Stegostoma tigrinum: one gene and its partners. The protein of the gene in region 1 interacts with the protein of each later gene in a biochemical or structural test. Links are inferred from orthologs where the notes say so. Each region holds a gene or a part of one and is shown in the gene's direction. Other genes may lie near its edges.

Region 1 (7,004 bases):
AAAAAATTCTGGTTGGCTCAGGGATAAAATGTGCCTCTTGGCTTTAATAATAAGCCTAATGCAATGACATCCCAATGAAAGTGGTCAAGATTCCAGGCACGGCAATGTAACTGACTCTTAACTTGTCCTCTGGGTAATTGGGGATGAGAAATAACTGTTGGCCTAGCCAGCAACGTTCATATCTCATGAGCAACTTTTTGTTAAAAACTTGTCTATGGGCACCTTCCTGCCTCCAAAGTAATAATAGGAGTGTCTCCGACTCCAAGAAATGGACTTGAACATTCTTCCATGATTAAATGGGCCCTGTGGCCATGTTTCTTGTCATATTGGCCTGGGTTTAATCCAGTCCAATGTCTTTTCGCTGTACTTAATACACAGTCAAACTTATTGCTATTTACTGACCCCACCAAATTTTGTGTGTTCCTCTCTACATGTGCATTGGCTCAAAATAGCTTCAACAATATTGATGTGAACTATAGTAACTAGTTTAATCATCAGTGTCTTGTCTAATAATTATCTCTCAATCAACATCATTAAAAAGTGAGATTATCTGGTCATTATCATATATTTTCATGTGGGCCTTTGGTATGTGCAAAGAGGTTTCTGCAGTTCCTATGTGAGAACATAAGAGACAGGAGCAGGAGTAGGCCATCTGGCCCTTTCAGCCTGCTCCACCATTCAATAAGATCTTGGCTGATCTTTTCATGGCCTCAGTTCCACTTACCCACCCTCTCACCATAACCCTTAATTCCTTCAAAAAATATCTATCTTAGATTTAAAAACATTAAATGAGGAAGCCTCAACTGCTTCACTGAGCAGGGAATTCCACAGATTCACAACTGTTTGGGAGAAGGAGTTCCTTCTCAGTTCAGTCCTAAATTTGCTCCCCCTAATTCTGAGGTTATGACAGCTTGATCTGGTTTCATCCACAAGTGGAAATAACCTCCCTGATTCTATCTTTTCTATTCCCTTCATGATTTTACATGTTTCTTTAAGATACGCCCCCCATTCTTCTAAATTTCAATGAATATAACCCCAGTCTACTTGGCCTCTCCTCATAAGCCAACACTCTCAACTCCAGAATCAACCTAGTGAATCTCCTCTGCACCCCCTCCAGTGCCAGTGCATCATTTTACAAGTAAGCAGACCAAAACTGTACACAGTACCCCAGGTGTGGCCTCACTAGCACCCTATACAGTTACAACAAAACTTCCCTGCTTTTAAACCTCATCCCTCGAGCAATGAAGGACAAAATTCCATTTGTCTTCTTAATTACCTGTTGTACCTGCCAACCAACATTCCGCGATTCATGCACCAGGATATCCAAGTCCCTGTGCACAGCAGCATGCTGCAATTTTTTACCATTTAAATAATAGTCCTTTTTATTGTTATTCCCACCAAAATGAATGACTTCACATTTATCAGCATTGTACCCCTGCCAGACCTTTCCCCACTCACGTAAACTGTCTATATGCCTCTGCAAACTTTCAGAGTCTTCTGCACACTCCAGTGTCATAGAATCATAGAATCCCTACACAGTGGAAGCAGGCCATTTGGCCCATCGTGTCCATGCTAACCCCCGGAGACCTTTCCACCCAAACCCACCCCATCCTTGTGATCCTGCATTTCCTGTGATTAATCTGCTTAACCAACACATCCCTGAACACTGTGGGCAATTTAGCATAGCCAATCCATCTAACCTGCACATCCTTGGGCTGTGGGAGGAATCCGGAGCACCTGGAGGAACCCATGCTAATCCAGGGAGAATGTACAAACTCCACACAGACAGTTGCCGAAGGGTGTAATCAAACCTAGGTCCCTAGCTCCATGGGGCAGCAGTGCTAACCACTGAGCCACCGTACCAGCCCAAGCCGCCTGTAGTATGAGTGTGACTAAATTTCAAGTGTTTTGGCCTGTAAACCACACCTGGAGTATTGTGCGCAGTTTTGGCCTCCCTACCTGATTCAGAGTATCTGAATATGCGCTGTTCACCCTCCCAACCAACTTTGTGTCATCTGCAAACTTGGAGGGATTACATTTAGAAGAACATAAGAACTAGGAGCAGGAGTAGGCCATCCGGCCCTTCGAGCCTGCTCCACTATTCAATAAGATCATGGATGATCATTTTGCACACTCAGATCCACTTACCCGCATTCTCACTGTATCTCTTAATTCCTTTATTGTTCAAAAACAATCTACCTTAGCTTTAAAAATGTTTACTGAAGTAACGCCAACTACTACACTGGGCAAGGAATTTCATTGATTAACAACCCTCTGGGTGAAGAAGTTCCGTCTCAATTCAGTCCTAAATCTGCTCTCTCTAATCTTGAGGCTATGCCCTCTTGTCCAAGGTTCACCTGCCAGTGGAAACATCCTCCCTACGTCCATCTTATCTATTCCCTTCATAATTTTATATGTTTTTATAAGAACCCCCTCAATCTTCTGAATTCCAATGAATATAATCCCAATCTAATCAGTCTCTCCTCATAAACCAACCCCCTCAACTCTGGAATCAACCTAGTGAACCTCCTCTGCACCCCCTTCAGTGCCAGTACATCCTTTCTCAAGTAAGGAAATCAAATCTGCACGCAGTACTCCAGGTGTGGCCTCACCAGCACCTTGTACAGCTGCAACATAACCTCTCTGCTTTTAAACTCAATCCCTTTAGCAATGAAGGACAAAATTCCATTTGCCTTCCTAATCACTTGTTGTACCTGCAGACCAACCTTCTGTGATTCATGCACAAGGACACCCAGGTCCCTCTGCATAGCAGCATGCTGCAACTTTTTACCATTCAAGTAATAATCCCTTTCACTATTATGCTACCAAAATGTATGACTTCACATTTATTTACATTGTATTCCATCTGCCAGACCTTTGCCCACTCATTCAATGTATCTGTGTTCCTCTGCAAAGTTTCACAGTCCTCTGCACGCTTTGCTCTGCCACGCATCTTAATGTCATCTGCAAACTTTGACACCCTACATGTGGCCCCCAACTCCAAATCATAAAATGCTCTCAACTAAGTCATGAACATATATTGTGAATTAGAGGTCAAGCACTATTTCCCGCAGTGGGCTATTAGTCACCGCATGCTTCATCAAAAAGAACAGTTTATTTCTTCACTTTATTCCAGCTAGCTCTCTGTCCATGGCATTATACTACCCCAGTCTCATATGCTTTAGGTTTACATGCTTGTCTCTTACGTGGAACTGTCTTGGAAGCCTTTTGAAAATTTCCTGAGATAACCAGACAAACTATTCACAATATCCTCATGCCTTTAGTTTTACACTTAACTCTATGATTAAACTGTGGGTGAACTGCTGTAATGTTGCCTTACGTGGCTTGGTATCTAGTTACTTTTTAATGGTTAGATGCTGGAATCCAAGGTAGACAGACCTGATGCTGGAAGAACACGGCAAGCCAGGCAGCATTTGAAGGGAGAAGTCAATGTTTTCGATTATTACCCTTCTTCAGGACTGTGCTTCTGTGAAGATTCGGGACCTGTTAGAATGCTTAGGAGGTTAAACAAGTTGCGTCCGCAGTTCTCTCGGTTTTTATTAAGTTGCTTCTCCTGTTGGAGAAATGACGAACTCTGAATGTTGACTCGGGTTCAGGATGTAGAGTAAAATGGGCAGAAGCTTCACTCTGGGGGATTGTATTGGGAGGTTGAGAGATTCAGAAGGAATGATAATCACTTGAGGTGGTGCCAATTTCCGTGATGAAAGGGACAGGAACAAGAAGCCAATAATGCAGGTAAATGCCTTGGGAATATTCTTTACTCAAGAATTCATTATGTTAGTTTCGGGTAACTTTATGAGATTATTAACGCCTATCTGACGGTTATGCAAATAAATCCACAACAACAAAGCAACAGTGTCAAACGAACGAGCAACGAAACGCGTTGCTCCAGTCAGGCTGAGGAGCGAGGGGGAAGCGCGTCAGCGGGAGCTGTGTGTAAAACTGGTGCGAGGGGAGGCAGGCGGCATTGGGACTGATTAAACTCAGAGCGGAACAGGCAGCTCATCACTCAGTGTGTTCCCGCTGCCAATGGCTCAGCGCTGGCTTGCTGCTCTCCTGCTTATTCTGACTGCTCATCAAGGTAAAAGGCTGCTTCTCACTTACGGAATGATTGGTCTGTTTAATTCGCTCACCTTCACATTGTCTATGAGGGAAAGCCCGGTTTGAACTGTGGAGCGATGGAAGAGAAACGAAGGAGGGAATGTCTGGATGAATGAACCTTCACATACCGATTATATTCGCCCGGAGGTTCGATCTTTCAGACCGTCCCCAGTTAACAGGGTTACAAGTGCTTTTGACATTTGAACAAACGTGTTGCAGCTGCATTTAGATTTAGGGAGATGTTATAAAAAAGACTCGGAAGTTGGATTTTTCTTCCACTAGTTTGAGAATATCTGAACACATTCAAACCTAATGTCTCCGTTTTCCTCTCTTTCAATGATAATTAGATTCGATTCCCTACGGTGTGGAAACAGGCCCTTCGGCCCAACAAGTTCACACCGCCCCTTTAAGTATCCCACCCAGACCCATCCCCCTATAACCCACACACCCCTGAACAGTACGGGCAATTTAGCATGGCCAATCCACCTAATCTGAACATGTTTGAACTGTGGAGGAAACCCGCGCACCTGGAGCAAACCCACGCAGACACAGGGAGAATGTGCAAACGCCGCACAGACAGTCGCCCGAGTCTGGAATTGAACCCGGGTCCTTGGCGCTGTGAGGCTGCAGTGCTAACCAGTGATAATCCCGACCTCTGACTATTTGTATTCCTGCCTCTCTCTGCTCAGATCCTCAGGTTCACTTTCCCGCGAGTGCTGTGTATTCTAGGTGGAAGGACATTATTTTTGTGAGACAGATGCACAGAGAAGGGACTGGGAAAGTGTGTTTTTGTTACGTACCTCTGCTGAGACCGCGGTAGCAGGGAGAATTGCTTGTCTCGGAGTAAGGAAGTTACAGAAGTGCATAGGACACCCCAGGCAAACTGAGAAAGGAACAACTAACACCCAGGCCAAAGCAACTTCAATGAACGGATTAACAGCAAGGCAGAAATGGAGGGAAGCTTTTAACGCTGATGGGGTCCTCTGTTTGAATTTTACTGTCTTTTTCATATTCAAAGGGTCAGAAATCACACGACACTGAGTTAGAATTGGACTATAATCTGGTGTGTGATTTCTGACCTTGTCCACCCCAGTCCAACATCATATACAAGTGGGTCAGTGGAGGGAGTCGCGGACCAAACGTGGGATGCAACAGAGATAACGGGAACTGCAGGCGCTGGAGAATCTGAGATAACACGGTGTGAAGCTGGATGAACACATCGGGCCAAGCAGCATCACAGGGGCAGGAAGGCATGAGTTTTCGGGTCGGGACCCTTCTTCTGCGTTCATCCAGCTTCACACCGTGATGTTTTAGCAACGATTGTTTGCATCCTGTCCGAGCGGTAAATCCCGTTGGATTGAAGTTTTCGGCTGTGAGAGTGAAGCTCCCTCCGCCAGCTCTTACACTGAGCCGTTCTGTCTGTTGCACCGATAACGTCTTACGCCAGAGCAGTCAGGCTAGAAGTTTGCCTGGCGCCAGCCCCAAACCTGGTGGAAGTCAGGGGTATAGATAATGAAGGGGTGTTACTGAGAGCTCTGTATTGATTTGGGTACAATGTATTGTTGTATTGTTCTTACTGGTGTCTATACCCTTTTCAACTCATCTTTATCTCTCTGTATCATTGCATCCTGCTACTTCTCTCTACAAAGTCTCTCTCAGGCTTCACCATAAGTGTATCTATGTTGCCCTTCAGAATAATTTTTCTAATTTCCGATCGCGGGACCTGGGCGTCACTGGTTGGGCCAATGTTTGTTGTTCATCCCTGATTGCCCTGGAGAAGGTAGCGGTGAGCTGCCCTCTGGAACTGCTGTCGGCAATACCTACGGCGTCGTTAGTAAGGGAGTGCCAGGAGTTTGCCCCGACGACACTGAGGGAACAGTGACACATTCCCAAACTGGGATCATATGTGGCTTGGAGAGAAACTTCCAGACAGTAGGATTCCCACGCCCACATTCTTGGGACTGGGGTGGAGGTTTCAGATTTGCAAGGTGCTGTCGAAGGAGCCTGCATGAGAACCTGCAGTGAATCTTGTAGCTGATACTCATCCCCACCCCCCAAATTGTGCACTTCTTAAAATGTTTGGCGGTGAGTATGTATATTACGTAGTGACCTGGATTTCCTGATGGCTATACAGTCATTATTCCCAGGCAGATTGGAGTTGCATCTGGGAAACTTCCGGAATCCCGATAATAGCAGATCCCGAAGGAATGGCCCGGAAATTGAATTTTCCGTTGGGTCATACCTCTACACCAGGACCCATCCGAGATTCTCAGTTTAAATCGGAGACTTTGAAGGGTTCAGACGAAATTAAGTAAAATAACTGTTCAGGAAAGGTTAGACTATTAAGTATAGTTGAACTCCTGAGTGACATTCGAGAAAATCCGATCCTTAGCTCAGACACCACAACTACACTTTCCCCCGACCCGTTGAGTCCAAATCCCCCAGCCGCCCTACAGCAGCCAGGCCTGACCCACCTTCCGTGCTCCCCCCACCCACATGTCGTAGGATCTGAACTCACCCCACAACCCCCACTCCCTAAAACCCAGGCGCTGTTAAACCCTCCCCTCCCCATGACCACGGCTGGACCCTGATCTCTGCCCTCCCCACCACCACCACCAGACCGAAGCCCGAGTGACCCTGTCACAGTCACCATCAGACCTCGGCCTGATCCCACAACCAGCCTCTGAACCCATTCCCCATACCCGCTGCTGCATACTGTCGGGCTTGAACCCGGTCGGCTTGCCCCTGTGAGACACTTCCCCTCCTCTTCCACTGACTGTGGAGCCATAACCAAGCTAAAGCCGTCATCCATCCTCTCAGAAATGCAGAGTTCCCTTCTTTCTTGCACTGAGAGATTACCACTCCTTGGAAAGTCCAGTCCA
Region 2 (7,043 bases), on another chromosome or scaffold:
AAAATTTTACAAAAGATCATATCTTTTTCTTGCTCTTGTACTCTATATGCCTCTATTTACAAAGCACAGAAACTCATAAATACTTTTTTTTCTACTCTCTTAATCTGTCTTACCAACTTCACTGATTTTGTGCATGTATAGCCTCAGGTCTCCATAAGAATACAAGTCATAGGAGCAGATGTACGCCATTCAGCTCAACGAGGCTACGCTACTCCACCCTTCAATGAGATTGTGCCTGATCTAATAATCATCAATTCCACTTTCCTGGCATTTCTCCATAACTCTTGATTCCCTCATTGATTAGAAATGTCTATCTCAGTCTTGAATATGATTAATGACTCAGCCCTAACAGTCTTCAGTCGTAAAGAATTCCACAGATTTACTGCCCTCTGACAGAAGACATTCCTCATCTCTATCTTATATGGACAATCCCTTACTCTGAGACTAGGCCCGCTAGTTCTAGACTCGCCCACAAGAGGATGCAACCTTTCCATATCTACCCTGATCATTGCCTGAGAATCTTAAATGTTCCAACAAGGTTGTCTTTCATTTGTCTACGTTCAACCCTGTTCCATCGCCCCACTTGGATGTTTTAATTGTTTTAATTCTCTCATGGGATGTGGGTAGTGTCAACAAAGGCAGCATCTGCTACCCATTGCTAACTGATCTTCAGAAAGCAGAAATGAGCTATATTCTTGAATTGCTGTCGTGATGTAGTATAAATACATCCAGAGTGCTGCTGGAAACAAGTACAGGATTTTTGGCCCAGAGATATGGTTCCAAGTTAGACCTTGGAGGAGGAACTTGCAGATGGCGTTGTCTCCATCTGTTTGCTAGTCTTGACCTTCTCAGTGCTAGAGCTATGCCTTTTAATACTTCTGGCACTTTTATAACACACATTGTTTTGGCCTCCACTGCTTTTGGAGATTGTAAATTCCACAGGCTCATCACTTGCTGTGTGAAGAAATATCTTCTCTTCTCAGACCTAACTCACATCATTAGACTGTGACTACTGGTTTAGGGATCCCCACCATCAACAACATCCTTCCTGCATCTACCCTGTAAAGTCCTGTTAGCATTTTATAGGTTTCTATGAAATAGTCAATCATTCTTCTGAATTCCAGCAAATATAATCCAAATTTATTCAACCTCTCCTGTTACATCAGTCTCGCCATGCATGGAATCAGCCTGATTAACCTTCACTGAACTACAGCAAGAACATCCAACATCAGACAAGGCCAGATTTAAAATGTATTTTATTATATCTTGACCTGACCTAAGACTTTATTATTATGACTTCTAATATTACTTCTTAATGTTATGTCATCTGCTCCTACCAATTTGTGCACCTTTGTTTATCCTTCCTAACCTTACATCCTCATTCCCATTCCCCTGGTCAAATCAGTTTAAAGCCTGTGCCAAAGCATTAGCAAAACACTTTGTAGAACTTTGGTCCCAGATCTATTAAGGTTCAAAGCATTTGCAATTGTCTAAGGTAAATGTTCTAAAAGGGTTAAAGATGGCTGCATTAGCTACACACAACCTGATGATGGTCTGGAGTCCTGGATAGGGAAATTGGGAGAACAGCTCTGATTTGGAAGGAGGCAGATTTATCATCAATGTATCCCAATTGTCTGAATAGCAATGGCTAACTACCTGATTGCTATTACACAATAAATTGCATAAAGTTACATTAAGAACCTCTTCCTGATTTTTAATTTTTTCTGTTCAGTCCTTCCCCACCTACATCCACAATTCTTGTGATGTTTTACATCAGTTTCAAAATTTCCAGTTCACAGGCTCCAGCCACTTCCTCTTCACCACGGACATGTATCCACTTAATGCCTATTTCCCCATCATGATGGTCTCAAGGTTCTCCACAACTTCCTGGAAAGATGGCCTGAACCGTCTCCATCCACCACCATCCTCATTTGTCTGGCACAGTTCATCTTCGTTTTGAACAACTCCTCCTTTGACTCCTGTCACTTTCTTCAGATTAAAGATGTGGCTATGGGTCCCAGTTATGCCTATCTGTTTGTGGGGTACATGGAACATTCCTACTCTGGCCCCCACCCATAACTTTTTCTCTGGTACATAGTTGACATCATCGGTGCTGTTTCCCCCTCTTATCTGGAATTAGAAAAATGTATCAATTCTGCTTCCAATTTCCACCCTGTCCTCACTTTCATCCCTTCCATCTTTGATTCATCTCTTCCCTTTCTTGACATCTCAGTTCCCATTTCTGGGTATAGGCTGGCCACCAATATCTGTTACAAACCCACCAACTTCCACAGTTACTTCAATTATACATCCTCACACCCCGTTTCCTGTAATGGCTCCATCTCATTTTCCCAGTTTCTTTTTCTTTCTTCACATTTGCTCTGATGATGCCACATTCCACAGGAGAGTTTCCAGCTGCCTGCCTCTTCAACAAACCTCTATGCCCCACACCAATGTTTCTATTGCAGGCCTGCTGCAGGTCCCAGCAAGCCTCAAAGCAAACTCAAAGAACAACATCTTATTTTTCACTTTGGGATCCTGCAGTCTCTAGGATCCAACAGTGAATTTGATAACTTCAGAGAGCATGATTCCATCTTCATTGTTTATGACATGCTCCATATCCAGTTCTGTTATGATATAGTTTACTTTTAGCACAAGTCACTCATTCTCACGTACTTCTGGGCCTATTGTCATATATGTGTTGCACTCAGAACAGCTCACCCATTTTCTCATTCTTAGCTATTCATTATCCCTTATTCAGGTTTTCTTCTGTTCTCGCCTGCTATCAATAATCTCCTCATTTACCTATCTCTTTCATATTTGTCTCACTCCCTCTGGGCTCTGTGTCCAACTATCCATTCACCGCTCCCCTTACCCAGACCCCTTCACCCAGATTCTGGATAAATACCAGATTTTCTAGGTGCTACCGTTTCTGATGAAGAGTCACCAAACTCAAAATGTTAACTCTGCTTTCTTTCCACAGCTGCTGCTAGACCTGCTTTATTTCTCCAACAATTTCTCTTTGTTTCAGATCTCCAGCATGATTTGTTATTATTTTACAATCTTCAACTGTAAAATTAAAAGTACTGTGAAAACAGCCAGATGTCCTCTTACACTCAGATGGAAAAGAGAATAGGTTCTGACGAAGGGTCACGCGACATGAAATTTTAACTCTGATTTGTCTCCAAAATGGACCTGCTGAGTTTTTCCAGTAATATCTGTTTTCATCAGAAAATAGGTTGCCCAGCATCCTTCAACACACAAATATCCCAAGACAGAATGCCAGAGTTACGGAATTATGGTTCGAAAGGAAGCTGCTCAACCCTTGTCTGTCTCATTTATTCCCACATCCTTCAGAACCAGACCCAGTGGCGTGACTATTGCAAAACTGTCCTCACTGGCCTTCAAACTTCTTCAACGTGAACTTATCTTCAACATTCGCCTATCACTCGTTCTCTACACTGATTCTCTGTTCACTAACAAGTCAAATTTCAAACATTCATCTTTGCATTCCTCATCACTATAACTCCCACCTCCTCATCCAACCTGTTTAATTAACAAAAGAACAACAACGGCAAAATGTGAAACATCCAGCAGTTCGTCGTTGTAGGGGACAGGGTGCGGTGCGGACCGGATCCGAAGCTGGTGGGGCGGGATCACAACTGGAGACATTAGTTAAGGGGCGTGTCTGGGCGGGTTTGCAGGTCCACGAATGGGATATTGGGCGAGTGGATAGAGGCGGAAGTGCCATGAGCAGTGGGGGTGGAGTGACGCAGGACGTAAGATGGAGGGGCGGGGCCGCGGTCGAGGCGAAGCCGAGGCTGGGTTGGTGTTGAAGGGGCGTGATCATGAGGGCGGGCCGAGGAGGCGGGGCCGACGGTGGAGGGGGCGGAGCCGTGCGTGCGGTGCAGCTGGTGGAAGAGGTGGGGCCATATGGGCGGGCCGATGGTGGAAGGGCGGGGCAAAGGCGGAGGCGGTCTCTGCTCCCTGAGGAGCCGCCATCTTGTAGTGAAAGCTTTGCATCTTTAAGATAGTCGGCGCTGCTGTGAGTATGGTTTAGATTTGGAATACGGATCTTGTGTTTGGGAGGTTTAAGTTCGGTTCTAGCTGTTTGTTTCGTGTGGATCTGGCTCGGGAATGAGGTGATGATGATGATGATGATAACGGAGGACCTGTGAGTCGGGCCTAGCGCCGAGCTGATCGGATCATTTGGTGGAGCCACTCCGTCCTCTCCACTCGGCTGCCAGAAGAGTTGTTAAAGTGATGTGGATGTGAGGAGACGACCGAGTCCCGACTGGAGAGCAGGTGAGTGACGCCTTGGCCCGGTTTTGATTGCGAGCTACTGGAGTCCCTGTCTCCGGAAAGGGTCTGTACCCCCCCCCCCCCCCCAACTTCACCCCTTCCACATCCTCCATACTCCTCAATCCACGATTACTCCACCTCCATTGCCTCTCCACCTCCTACCAACATCAGCCCTCGCCCGCGTTCTCTCAACTGTCGCTTCCCATTTTCGCTCTCCTCCCCTGCAGCAGCCCCCCAGTCCCACAAATTCCCTTGCCCCATTCAAATCTATTGCCATCTCACACGCTATCCCCAACCCACCCTGACTCCTCCTCATATCCCTATCCCACCTCCACCTCATCCTATCCTATTTTCACTAACCGTTATGTCACCCCATTCTCCATTCTCACCTTTGGTTGCTAATCTCCAGCTAGGCTATGAATTTTAATCCCACTTGCTAATTTCTCCACTCAAGTTTCCACTCCGTACCTATCCATTTGTGCAGAACAAATCCTCTGTAATGGCATATTGAAATAAGTGACCAATTAATATTTGTTGTTGTCGATGCAGGGATTGAATGTCATTATGCCAAAGAGTTCCCTGCCCCTCTGTCTTTTACATCCACATGTTGGATAATAGAAGCAGTTTGGTTATATCTTTTATTTAAAAGACAGTACCTTGAGTAATGCAGCAATCCCTCAATTCTGCATTTCAACGGATTGTGTGAATTATTCAAGTCTGTCAAAAATCTGGCTTTCAGGTTAGGTACCTTCGTGTCATTGTGCCTCATATTGATGCAAAATGAGTGATTTTTACTGCTGAAAATTTCTGAAGTTACAAGTGTACGTTCCTGACATGGACTTCTAAAAGTTGGAATGCATAACTGTTTCTGGAAAAACTGGTTCTGTTCTTGTGGATTGTTGTATGATGTTTACTGATTTTGGTGTACCCATCTATTTAAGACTTGTGTAAGTTATTTGCTTTGGTTAAATTAGGTTTGTCACAGCAGAAACCCCTCCCTAAACATATTTGTTATATACAACATTAGTCATTCATGGGTGTCTGATTTAACTATGGGTTTATAAGCCACAGTTAGTACACACTCATTAAAATAGTTTTCAACTTGCTGGTCGGATATAACTTATTAAAGTGGGAGAACCAGTTAATTTAGGACCAAATGATAAAATGTATTTCGTGATCTTTTTAAATGATAACATGGCCTGTATTTTGAAATATGCAAGTTTTAACATGTTAAAATTCACAGTAATTTGTTTGTTCCTTGTTCATCCATACACTCTTGAGTAGTGTTATTAAGCCGTTAAATTACCATCTAGCTATTGGTTCCACATATTTAATGCCTTGTTATGAAATAGTTGAGAATGAGTGTAAAACTTGACTGTTTTCATAGTATCCAGCTGAATGAAACAACTTGGGCTTTGGTTTTCTTTGTCCCTGACCTTGATGATCAAGATACCTTAGAATGGATCTGGACTGAGGGTTATGCATTGAAATTAGACCAAAAGTATATTGTCTGAAATGACCATGACTGATCCTTTTTTAATGTCATTCCCTTGTGCTCCCTCCCCATACCCTTTAATGCCTGTGTCTGGTAACTTATCTGTTTCTTTTTTAAATTACTTAGCAACTTCACTTTCACAGTGTTACATGATAGAGAATGGTATATGTTTACCACTTCTTGAAGTCATTTTTCTGCTTTCAGCCCAAAAATCCTTAATCTGTATCTGAAAACCATGTGCCATTGTTGTAGGAACCCCGCTTTGTCATAATGTTACACACTTCACTGAGATTCAGTCTTATTCTTCTAAACCCAATCTCTTCTCGTATGACAAACTTTGTATCTCAGCAATCAGTCTGGTGACCTTTAACCGTATTCCCTGTCTGGCAATTGTAAATTTCCTTAAATGAGGCCACCAGAACTGCACACACTATTGTAAGTGATGTCTCACGAAGGTGCTTTACAGCCACACTAAGCCTACCTTGCAATGAAGGACAGCATGCCATTTACTTTCCTAACTATTTGCTGTACCTAATGCTTGCTTTCATGGTCCATTGTAGTAACAGTGCTAGTAGAGGAATGGTTAAAGCCTCTTTAGACAGTGATGTACAATTTCTTGGAGATCAGAGCCACAGGAGGTTGACAAGGTGCCTGACAGCTCCAGCCTTGATCACTTCCAAATTACAAATTTCTTGGACTTCCAATATGATGGTGAAACAGAACATTGTGAGCAAGACAGCCCTGGTCAGCAATCTGTTCATCTGGAGAGTGGTCATCAGCATTGCAGAAAGGAGACAATGGTTGCGAAGCTGTCCATTAATGGAGATCAATGTCCAGATCGGTTGTACATGTCAGAGTAGGTAATCCCTGAAGCGTCATGGACATAGTGATCGGGAAAAGCAAAATTTGTTCTGATTGTTTGTTTGTCACATGACTGCTAGTGTAGAAAGTTAACTATATTGTTTTGTTTTTAATGTTTATAATGAAGGCATTTGTCTTGGATTGTAAAAGCATCTCCTCATATGTGATACATTTAGGTGATAAAATCTACTTTCATCTAAGTAGCTTCAATTTAAGTAGTGGTTTCCTGGGGCATATTTATTTCTTAAAATGGTGTATTCCTGTATTCTAATAAAGAAAACCGGGTTCTTTATATAACATCTCACTTTTCAAATCCTGACATCTGCTTTTAAACATCATGACTTTAAAAAACAATCATGATTAGAGCTATGCAACAAGCCTTTGC
Region 3 (8,086 bases), on another chromosome or scaffold:
AACTTAACCCACCTTCGTATTGTCCACAAACTTACAAATCCACCCTTCCATTTCTTCATCCAACTCATTTACAAAAATCACAAATAGAAGACGACCCAGAACATATCCTTATGGTACACGACTCACAACTGAGCACCATGTTGAATATTTTTCACACACCACCACTTCTAAGGGTCAATGAATTCTGAATCCAATCTGCCACATGTCCCACTATCCCATGCCTCCTTACCTTCTGCATGAGCCTACCATGGGGAACCTTATCAAACGCCTTACTTAAATCCATGTACACCACATCCACTAATCTACCTTCATCCACATATTTGGTCACCTCTTCAAAGAATTCAATAAGGTTTGTGAGGCATGATCTACCCCTCACAAACCCATGCTGACTATCAAAAACTAAACTGTGCGTTTCCAAGTGATCATGAATCCTCTCTCTGAACGCCCTTTCCAATAATTTGCCCACCACTGATGCAAGACTAACTTTCCGGAGTTACTCCTTTTTCCTTTTTTGAACAAGGGAATGATGTTTGCCTCTGCCTAATCTTCTGGCACTTTACCCATGGACAGTAAGAACAAAAGGATCATCGCCAAAGGCCATGCGATCTCTTCCCTTGCTTCCCATAGAATCCTTGGATAAATCCCATCAGGCCTGGGGGACTTATCCACCTTCAAGTTCCGCAAAATTCCTAGTGCATCTTCCTTACTAACATTGACCTCCTCTAGCCTACTAGCCTGTTTCACTCCGCCTTCCTCTACAACTAGGTCCCTCTCAGTTGTGAATACCAAAGTAAAGTATTCATTAAGGACCTCTCCTATCTCTTTAGGCTCCATGCGCAAATTCCCTTTACAATCCTTGATCGGCCCTACCCCTTCTCTGGTCATTCTCTTACTCCTCATGTATGTGTAAAAAGCCTTGGAGTTTTCCTTGATTCTATCTGCCAAGGTTTTCTCATGCCCCACCCCCACCCCCATAGCTCTCCTAAGCCCTTTCTTCAGTTCCTTCCTGGCTAACTTGTATCCCGCTACAGCGTTTTCCATTCCTTGTTTCCTAAGCCTTATGCAAGCCTCCTTCTTCCTCTTAACCAGTCATTCGACCTCTCTTGAGAACCAAGGCTCCCTCACTAGATCGCATCTTCCCTGCCTGTTAGGGACAAAAATATCGAGCACACGCAGTAAGCAATCCTGAAACAGTCTCCACATTTCAATAGTGCTCTTCCCTGACAGCATCTGTTCCCATTTTATGTTACCCAGTTCTTGCCTAACAGAATTATAATTACCCTTCCCCCAATTATAAACCTTACCCTGCTCTATGTACCAATCCTTTTCCATGACTATTGTAGAAGTAGGGGAGTTATGATCGCTATGCCAAAATGCTCTCCTACCAACAGGTCTAACACTTGGCCCGGTTCATTGCCAAGCACCAGATCTAATCTCTTCATGTTGGTCGATCTACATAGTATGTCAGGAATCCTTCCTGAATGCACTGGACAAAATCCGCTCCATCTAAACTATTACAGCTAAAATATTTCCAATCAATATTTGGAAAGTTGAAGTCACCCATGACTACAATCTTGTGACTTCTGCACCTTTCCAGTATCTGCCTCCCAATCACTCCTCCATTTCCCTGCAGCTATTAAGGGGTCTGTAAAAAACCTCCAACAAAGTGACTGATCCTATCTTGTTCCTGACCTCGACCCAAACTGACTCTGCAGGCATATCATTCTCGAACTGCCTTTCAGTAGCTGTTATACGAGCCCTGACTAGCAATGCCACTCCCCTGCCTCTTTTTCCAACCTCCCTATTTCTTTAAAAGCATCTAAATCCCAGAACTTTCAATAACCATTCCTGTCCCTGATCTACCCAAGTTTCTGTAATGGCCACAACATTGTAGTTCCAAGTACTGACCCACGCTCTAAGTTCATCCACCTTATTTCTGATACTTTTAGCATTGAAGTATACTCACCTCAAACCATCTCTGTGTCCACAATTACACTCCATCAACTGCATTTCTTTATTAACAACCTCACTCCCTGTTGTGTCTGTTGGAAGGCTGAATACCTCATCCTCTGAATTACAAATCTGGTTCCCCACCCCCTGCCAATCTAGTTTAAACCATCCTGTACAGCTCGAGCACACCTCCCTCCCAGGATATTTGTGCCCTTCCAGTTCAGGTGCAACCTGTCCTTACTGTACAGGTCTCACCTTCCCCAGAATGTGCTCCAATTACCCACAAAATGGAAGCCCTCCCTCCTACACCAGTGGTGTTATCTTTATGTGTTTTATTTATTGCACTACAATTAGTTCCCACTTCCTATGTCCTTTGCTCCAAAATCTTGATTCCAATCTCCATAGTATAAACTGAATGTCTCATTGCTGTCCTGTTTAGATCCAGCCACATGTTTAGCTGCAGTCACTCCCTATTTCTTACCTCATTATTGCGTGGCACTGGTAGTAATCCAGGGATAACTACCCTGTTTGTCCCAGACTTCAGCTTCCAACCTAACTCCCTGTACTAATTTTTCACATTCTCAGTCCTTTTTCTATCTACACCATTGGTACCGAAAACACGATCCGAGACATCACAGACCCTGGTACGGAGGAGGCAACATACCATCCAGTCATCTCATTTGCATCCACAGAGCCACCTGTCTGTGCCTCTTACTATCGAATACCTCACTACAATTGCTCTCCTATTCGGCACCCCCCCCCTTCCCTTCTGTGCCATAGAGCCAGGCTCAGTGCTAGAGACCTATCCGCTATGGCCTTCCCCTGGTAGGTCTTGCTCCCAACAGTATCCAAAACAGTACACTTATTATCGAGGGGAATGGCCACGGGGGGATTGCTGCACTGTCTGCCGTTTCCCTTTCCCCTTCCTGACAGTCACCCAGCTTCCTTTTTCCTGTACTTTAGGAGTGACGACCTCCTTATACCTCCTCTCTATCACTCCCTCAGCCTACGAATGATCTAGAGTTCATCCAGCTCCAGCTCCAGTTCCCTAATGCGGCCTGGGAGGAGCTGGAGTTGGGTGCGCTTCTTGCAGGTGAAGCCAGAGGGAGCACCAGCAGTGACCCTTACCTCCCACATCCTGCAAGAGAAGCCTGCACCTGCCCGAGCTTCCATAGTCTACTTGTTGAATGCCTTTCTGAAGCCCATGTAGGTCACGTCCACTGCTTTGCCCTCATCAATTCTGTTACTTCTTCAAAAATCTCAGTCAAGTTAATGAGATTAATCAACCAAATTAATGATGAATCAAGTTTTAATTTGATTTGATTTATTATAATCACATGTACCTAGGTACAGTAAAAAGTTTTACATGCAATACATAACATTCAAGGATTATGGGGTGATTGAACAGAATACAAAAGTTATGGCTACAAAGAAGCTGCACAAAAAGCAAGATCAACATTCAGTTTGAAATTTCAGAGGTCCATTCAGAAGTCTAATAACAGCAGGGATGTTCTTGAACCTGCTGGAATGTGTGTTTAAGCTTTTGTATTTTTTGCCTGACAGAAAGAAGAAATTATAAGCGGAATGGGAGAGGTCTTTGATCATGTTGACTGCCTTTACTATCCAGTTTTACAATCCAGACTTGTACTTTTTATGTATACATCTGTCCACTCCTACTTTTGTACCCTCGCGGTGTTATCCTTATGTGTTTTATTTATTGCACTACAATGAGTTCCCACTTCCTATGTCCTTTGCTCCAAAATCTTGATTCCAATCTCCATTGTAGAAACTGAATGTCTCATTGCTGTCCTGTTTAGATTCAGCCCATCATTCCTCTGCTAAAGAGATTCTGGGCTCATGCAGGGCTTGAGTCAGTAAATCTCTCCACAGTTCAACAAACCACCAACCTCCATGTGAGAGTAATTTGCAGGAAGTGAGAGGGTGGGACCCTATGTCCCTGTCACAGTCAAGAGAGGAGTGGGTTGAGAGAAACTATTTAAATTATCACATAAATAGAACAATTGTTTTTTTTTGTCTTGATAATGCATTTTTTGCAAATAATCATGTATGTCATTTAGAACAGATGTCCCTGTGGTTTCCTGTCAAAGAGCTCAAAATGTCCATATCCTGTAAAATGTCATGCTTCTATCAGGCATCAGGACATATTGGGCTGCACAGTGGCTCAATGGTTAAGCACTGCTGCCTTACAATGCCAGGGAACTGGGTTTGATTCCACCCTTGGGCATCCTTGTAGGGTTTGCCCATTCTCGCTGTGTGTGAGTTTCTTCTGGGTGCCCTGGTTTTCTCCCACAGTCCCAAGATGTGCAGGTTAGATGGATTGGCCATGCTTTACCATATGGGATGAACCCATAGTGTCCAGGGATGTGCAGACTGGGTGGGATAGCCATAAGAAATACAGGGTTACAGGGATAGAATAGGATAGGAATGCTGGTCTGATGCTCTTCAGAGGGCTGGTATGGACTCAATAGGCCTGCTGTAGGGATTCTATGATTCTGTGTTATTGAAGGAGTGCTGCATTGTCAGAGGAGATCATTTCTCAGCATGTTCAGGGCATGGGTAAGTTCTGTGGTAGCGAGAACGCCTTTAATGCAGAAAATGGCGTGCCCTGACTGAGTTTAATAGTGAGCAGAAAGGAGACATTGACTGGTGAGAAAGAAAGTCCTATGCAGAGTTGCTGCTAGACTCAAATTCCCCGACTGAGATGAATTAGTGACAGGTTGCCACCCTAACAACTTAACCTCACCGACCTGACTATAACCGTGCGACAGCTCGCAAACCCCTGTTAGCACACCTGCCCCTGAGTTGGGCAAGTGCACTTATCTCAGGTGGTTCCCTTTAAATCAGCGGCAGGAATTTCAGCTATTCCTTACTCAATAATATTATCACAAACGCCGTTGTTAGCTCCAGATATTTATAGCCAAAGTAAAATAGTCTCTGCAAATAAGTTTCAATACATTCTGCAATGCCACAGCTCAGATCAAAAGAGGAAATGATCCAACCCATCAGCTACCTACAGGAAGAGACCTTCTTTAGTAAATGTAATGTTGAAAGACAAATTAGTTCGCGTGCTACGCTCGACGCGAATTCTCTGCATTGCCTTTTCTGCCCATGTCGAAGTGAAATGCGACGGTAGAGAATTGGCAGTTGCTGTTCTGTTGGCGATTACTCGATATCACTTCAATACCAGTAATTCACAGGCTTCATCTGACTGCGAGCAACCCCCAGCCCTGAAGCTAATCACTGAATCCGCTGCAAGACGCTGTGCGGTGAGTACCTGTCTGTGTTGCAATCTCTGTTTTGTGTTATTTGGTGAACCTTTTTTTTAAAGAAAGATTGGTTTGTAATGACGAAGACCACAAACTTTTTGCAAGGTCGTCCTTTACTGAAACTATACTAATGAAATATTTCCCTTTTTTTTTCTCGCGGTGCGATTTCAACAATGGAATTGCGGGGGCGGGGGAGCGGAAGGTTATGACTCCTTGAATAAAATATTAATGAGAAACAAAAGGGCAATTTCTACTGCAACAACGCTGCAAAATAATTAAAACTGACAACCAGATGAAGGAAGCGGTTGTGTTTACGTAATTCCAAACTGGAGTTTTGAGTCAGCAGACCAGAAAAGATTCAAGAGGGTTGGGCAGCAAGGCAGTTTTGAGGTCCTGGGAGGCTATCTCTTAATGTGTCTCTCTGGGATACCCTTTCAAATCACTCCCAATTCTCAAACAGGTTATTGTACATTATTTAGTTCACTAGTGCTCTGTCTGAAGTTCTGATGCCCTCGTTTCACTGGTCAGTTCTTACCCCCACAAGGATTCTGCTTTTATTTATGAGCTTATATATTTAGAATCAATTAACTGAACTTGACTTTGCTTCAGAGGAAGTTACAAAAATTTACACGGAAAATACCCAATTCTGTTTTGTGAAGTTGCACTGACTTGGCAGCCAGAATGTGGCATCGCAGAAGTGTAAAATTGAAGAAATATTAACAAAGATTTTACAAATCACAGCAATTTGTGAAAAATCATGCCCAACCCATTTGGTTGATGCAGCTAAGATGCCACTGGCTGTCTGCTTGTTTGGCAGTCTGGAGTGCCATGCTTCTATGTGGCGAGCACCATTCCTGTAGAAGCAACTTTTTCAGGGAAATGGTCAGAAATCATACACGCAACACCACAGGGAAGTGAAATTTGACGGAAATTAGCAGCATTTAATGTTTAATGAGAAGGACGTGAAATGAAAGCGGGCTGTATAAATGGGGCCATCACTAACTAAGCGCTACGCAGAATTGTAGGAGTGTAAGTGAGAAAGTTGCTCAGTAATATCTGATGACTATTGAAAGTGTGACTTGTTACCAATAGTTTATGAGAACCTTTAAATAAAGATGCACTTTTGCTCCAATCTGGTTGCTGGCTCACTTAAGCAAATCCTGTAATGTTTTGCTATAATTAATTGGATTTCCATTTTTGATTCATTCATGGGATATGGGCATTGCTGGCTGAACTAACATTTATTACCAATGCCTAGTTGCCCTTGAGAAGATGGTGGTGAGCTGCTTTTTTGAGCCTCTGCAGCCCATACAATGCAGGTATATCTCGTTGGTGACAGAGTTCCAGAAATTTAGTCCAAAGACAGTGAAGGAGCAGCGATATATTCCATTGGAGACGGTAGTGATCAGAGGTTTGGAAGCTGTTGTTGAAGGCACTTTGGGAAGTTTCTATAGTGTACTTTGTAGATGGTAAACCCTGTAACTACTGAGCGTCAGTGGTGGAGGGAGTGGATGTTTGTAGATGTGGTACCAGTCAAACGGCTGCTTTGTCCCAGATGGTGTCAAGTTTTTTGAGTGTTGTTGGGGCTGCACCCATCCAGGCAAGTGGGGAGTATTCCATCACACTCCTGACTTGTGCCTTGTAGATGATATGACAGGCTTTAGTGTGTCACTCGCTGCAGAAATCCTAGCCTCTTATCTGCTTTTGTAGCAATAATACTTGCATGGATGGTCTGGTTCAATTTCTGGTGATTCTTTTTAACTTCAAAAATATACTTCATTCATTAAAAAATGTCTTTGTATATATACATGGTACCAAAAAGCATTCTGATTTTGTATGATAGCATGTCAAGGAAACAAACATTGGCGTTTGATTCTATCCAAACAAATCAAAGACAACCCTTGCATATACAAAACCTATATTTGCATGCATTTGAGGCACCACAAGGGTCCGATAACTGATCAGTTAATCATTTAACTTCATTCAAACAGTGGTTTGATAGTGGAGCAGTTAGTCTTTCCTCCTTTTCTAAGCTCAGTCTAATTAATATTGTTAAAGAAGTGAGAAATGTTCCATCCCACATCGCACCATGCTGCACCTGGTGAAAAGGTGACTTGGAGGATTGCAAGACTCTGACATGTCAAGTTCATGTTTGTACATTAATATTTTTAAATGAGTGTTTAAAGATATAGTTTGTGACAATCTTCAAATAGTGATGTACTTTGCTGCAATGTGGTGCAATATTTCTCAAAATGTAGCAGGAAATGAGATATTATTTTCCTCCTCCCAGATATATGGCGACATACATAGCTTAGAGTCTTAGTCATAGACGTCTACAGCACAGAAAAAGGCCCTTCAGCCCACGGAGTCTGTACTAGTCAAAAACAACCAGTTACTTTAATCCCTTTTTCCTTTCTTGGCCTGTAGCATTGTGTGCGTTTTCATTGCAAGTCTCATTTCTCCAGTCAAAGTGAACTAAAGTAAATAATCATTCATCACTTCTTAATCTGATACGACAGAGTGAGTGGACTGGAACATAAACATCAGCCTGGGCTGTTTGCACCAAATGAACTGTTCAGCGTCATATATCCTAACTAACCCTAGGTAAAACTTTAACTCAGAATCATTTACAGCTACCAACTATGTTTTTGAGCCCAAGATTTGGTCTGCTGTCTAGAATAGATAAAAATGGCCCCTAGCTTGGTGCCAACCTGCTACTCCATTCCAGGAGGACCCAAGTGTGACTGTGCTCTCTCATTTCCATCCCCAGGTCTCAGATAAGAGATGCTGTAGATGTTGATTCATGCCTTCCTGCATTGATGTGAAGCCAAGATGATTGGGAATTACTC

Evidence for each region. The genes of interacting proteins can lie anywhere in the genome.
Region 2: the proteins of mast/stem cell growth factor receptor Kit-like (region 1) and yes1 form a complex in vitro, tested with the Homo sapiens proteins (2 studies listed by BioGRID and IntAct, with this or other methods). The link is inferred for Stegostoma tigrinum from reciprocal best matches to the Homo sapiens genes KIT and YES1.
Region 3: the proteins of mast/stem cell growth factor receptor Kit-like (region 1) and matk form a complex in vitro, tested with the Homo sapiens proteins (2 studies listed by BioGRID). The link is inferred for Stegostoma tigrinum from reciprocal best matches to the Homo sapiens genes KIT and MATK.

The regions. Positions count from the first base shown.
Region 1 is NC_081354.1:108,017,499-108,024,502, forward strand, and holds the start of mast/stem cell growth factor receptor Kit-like, read left to right. Parts: upstream 1-3,988; 5' UTR 3,989-4,050; coding exon 4,051-4,102; intron 4,103-7,004. UniProt on the Homo sapiens protein: Tyrosine-protein kinase that acts as a cell-surface receptor for the cytokine KITLG/SCF and plays an essential role in the regulation of cell survival and proliferation, hematopoiesis, stem cell maintenance, gametogenesis, mast cell development, migration and function, and in melanogenesis.
Region 2 is NC_081358.1:79,796,506-79,803,548, reverse strand, and holds the start of yes1 (tyrosine-protein kinase yes), read left to right. Parts: upstream 1-3,955; 5' UTR 3,956-4,305; intron 4,306-7,043. UniProt on the Homo sapiens protein: Non-receptor protein tyrosine kinase that is involved in the regulation of cell growth and survival, apoptosis, cell-cell adhesion, cytoskeleton remodeling, and differentiation.
Region 3 is NC_081383.1:29,642,376-29,650,461, reverse strand, and holds the start of matk (megakaryocyte-associated tyrosine-protein kinase), read left to right. Parts: upstream 1-4,998; 5' UTR 4,999-5,237; intron 5,238-8,086.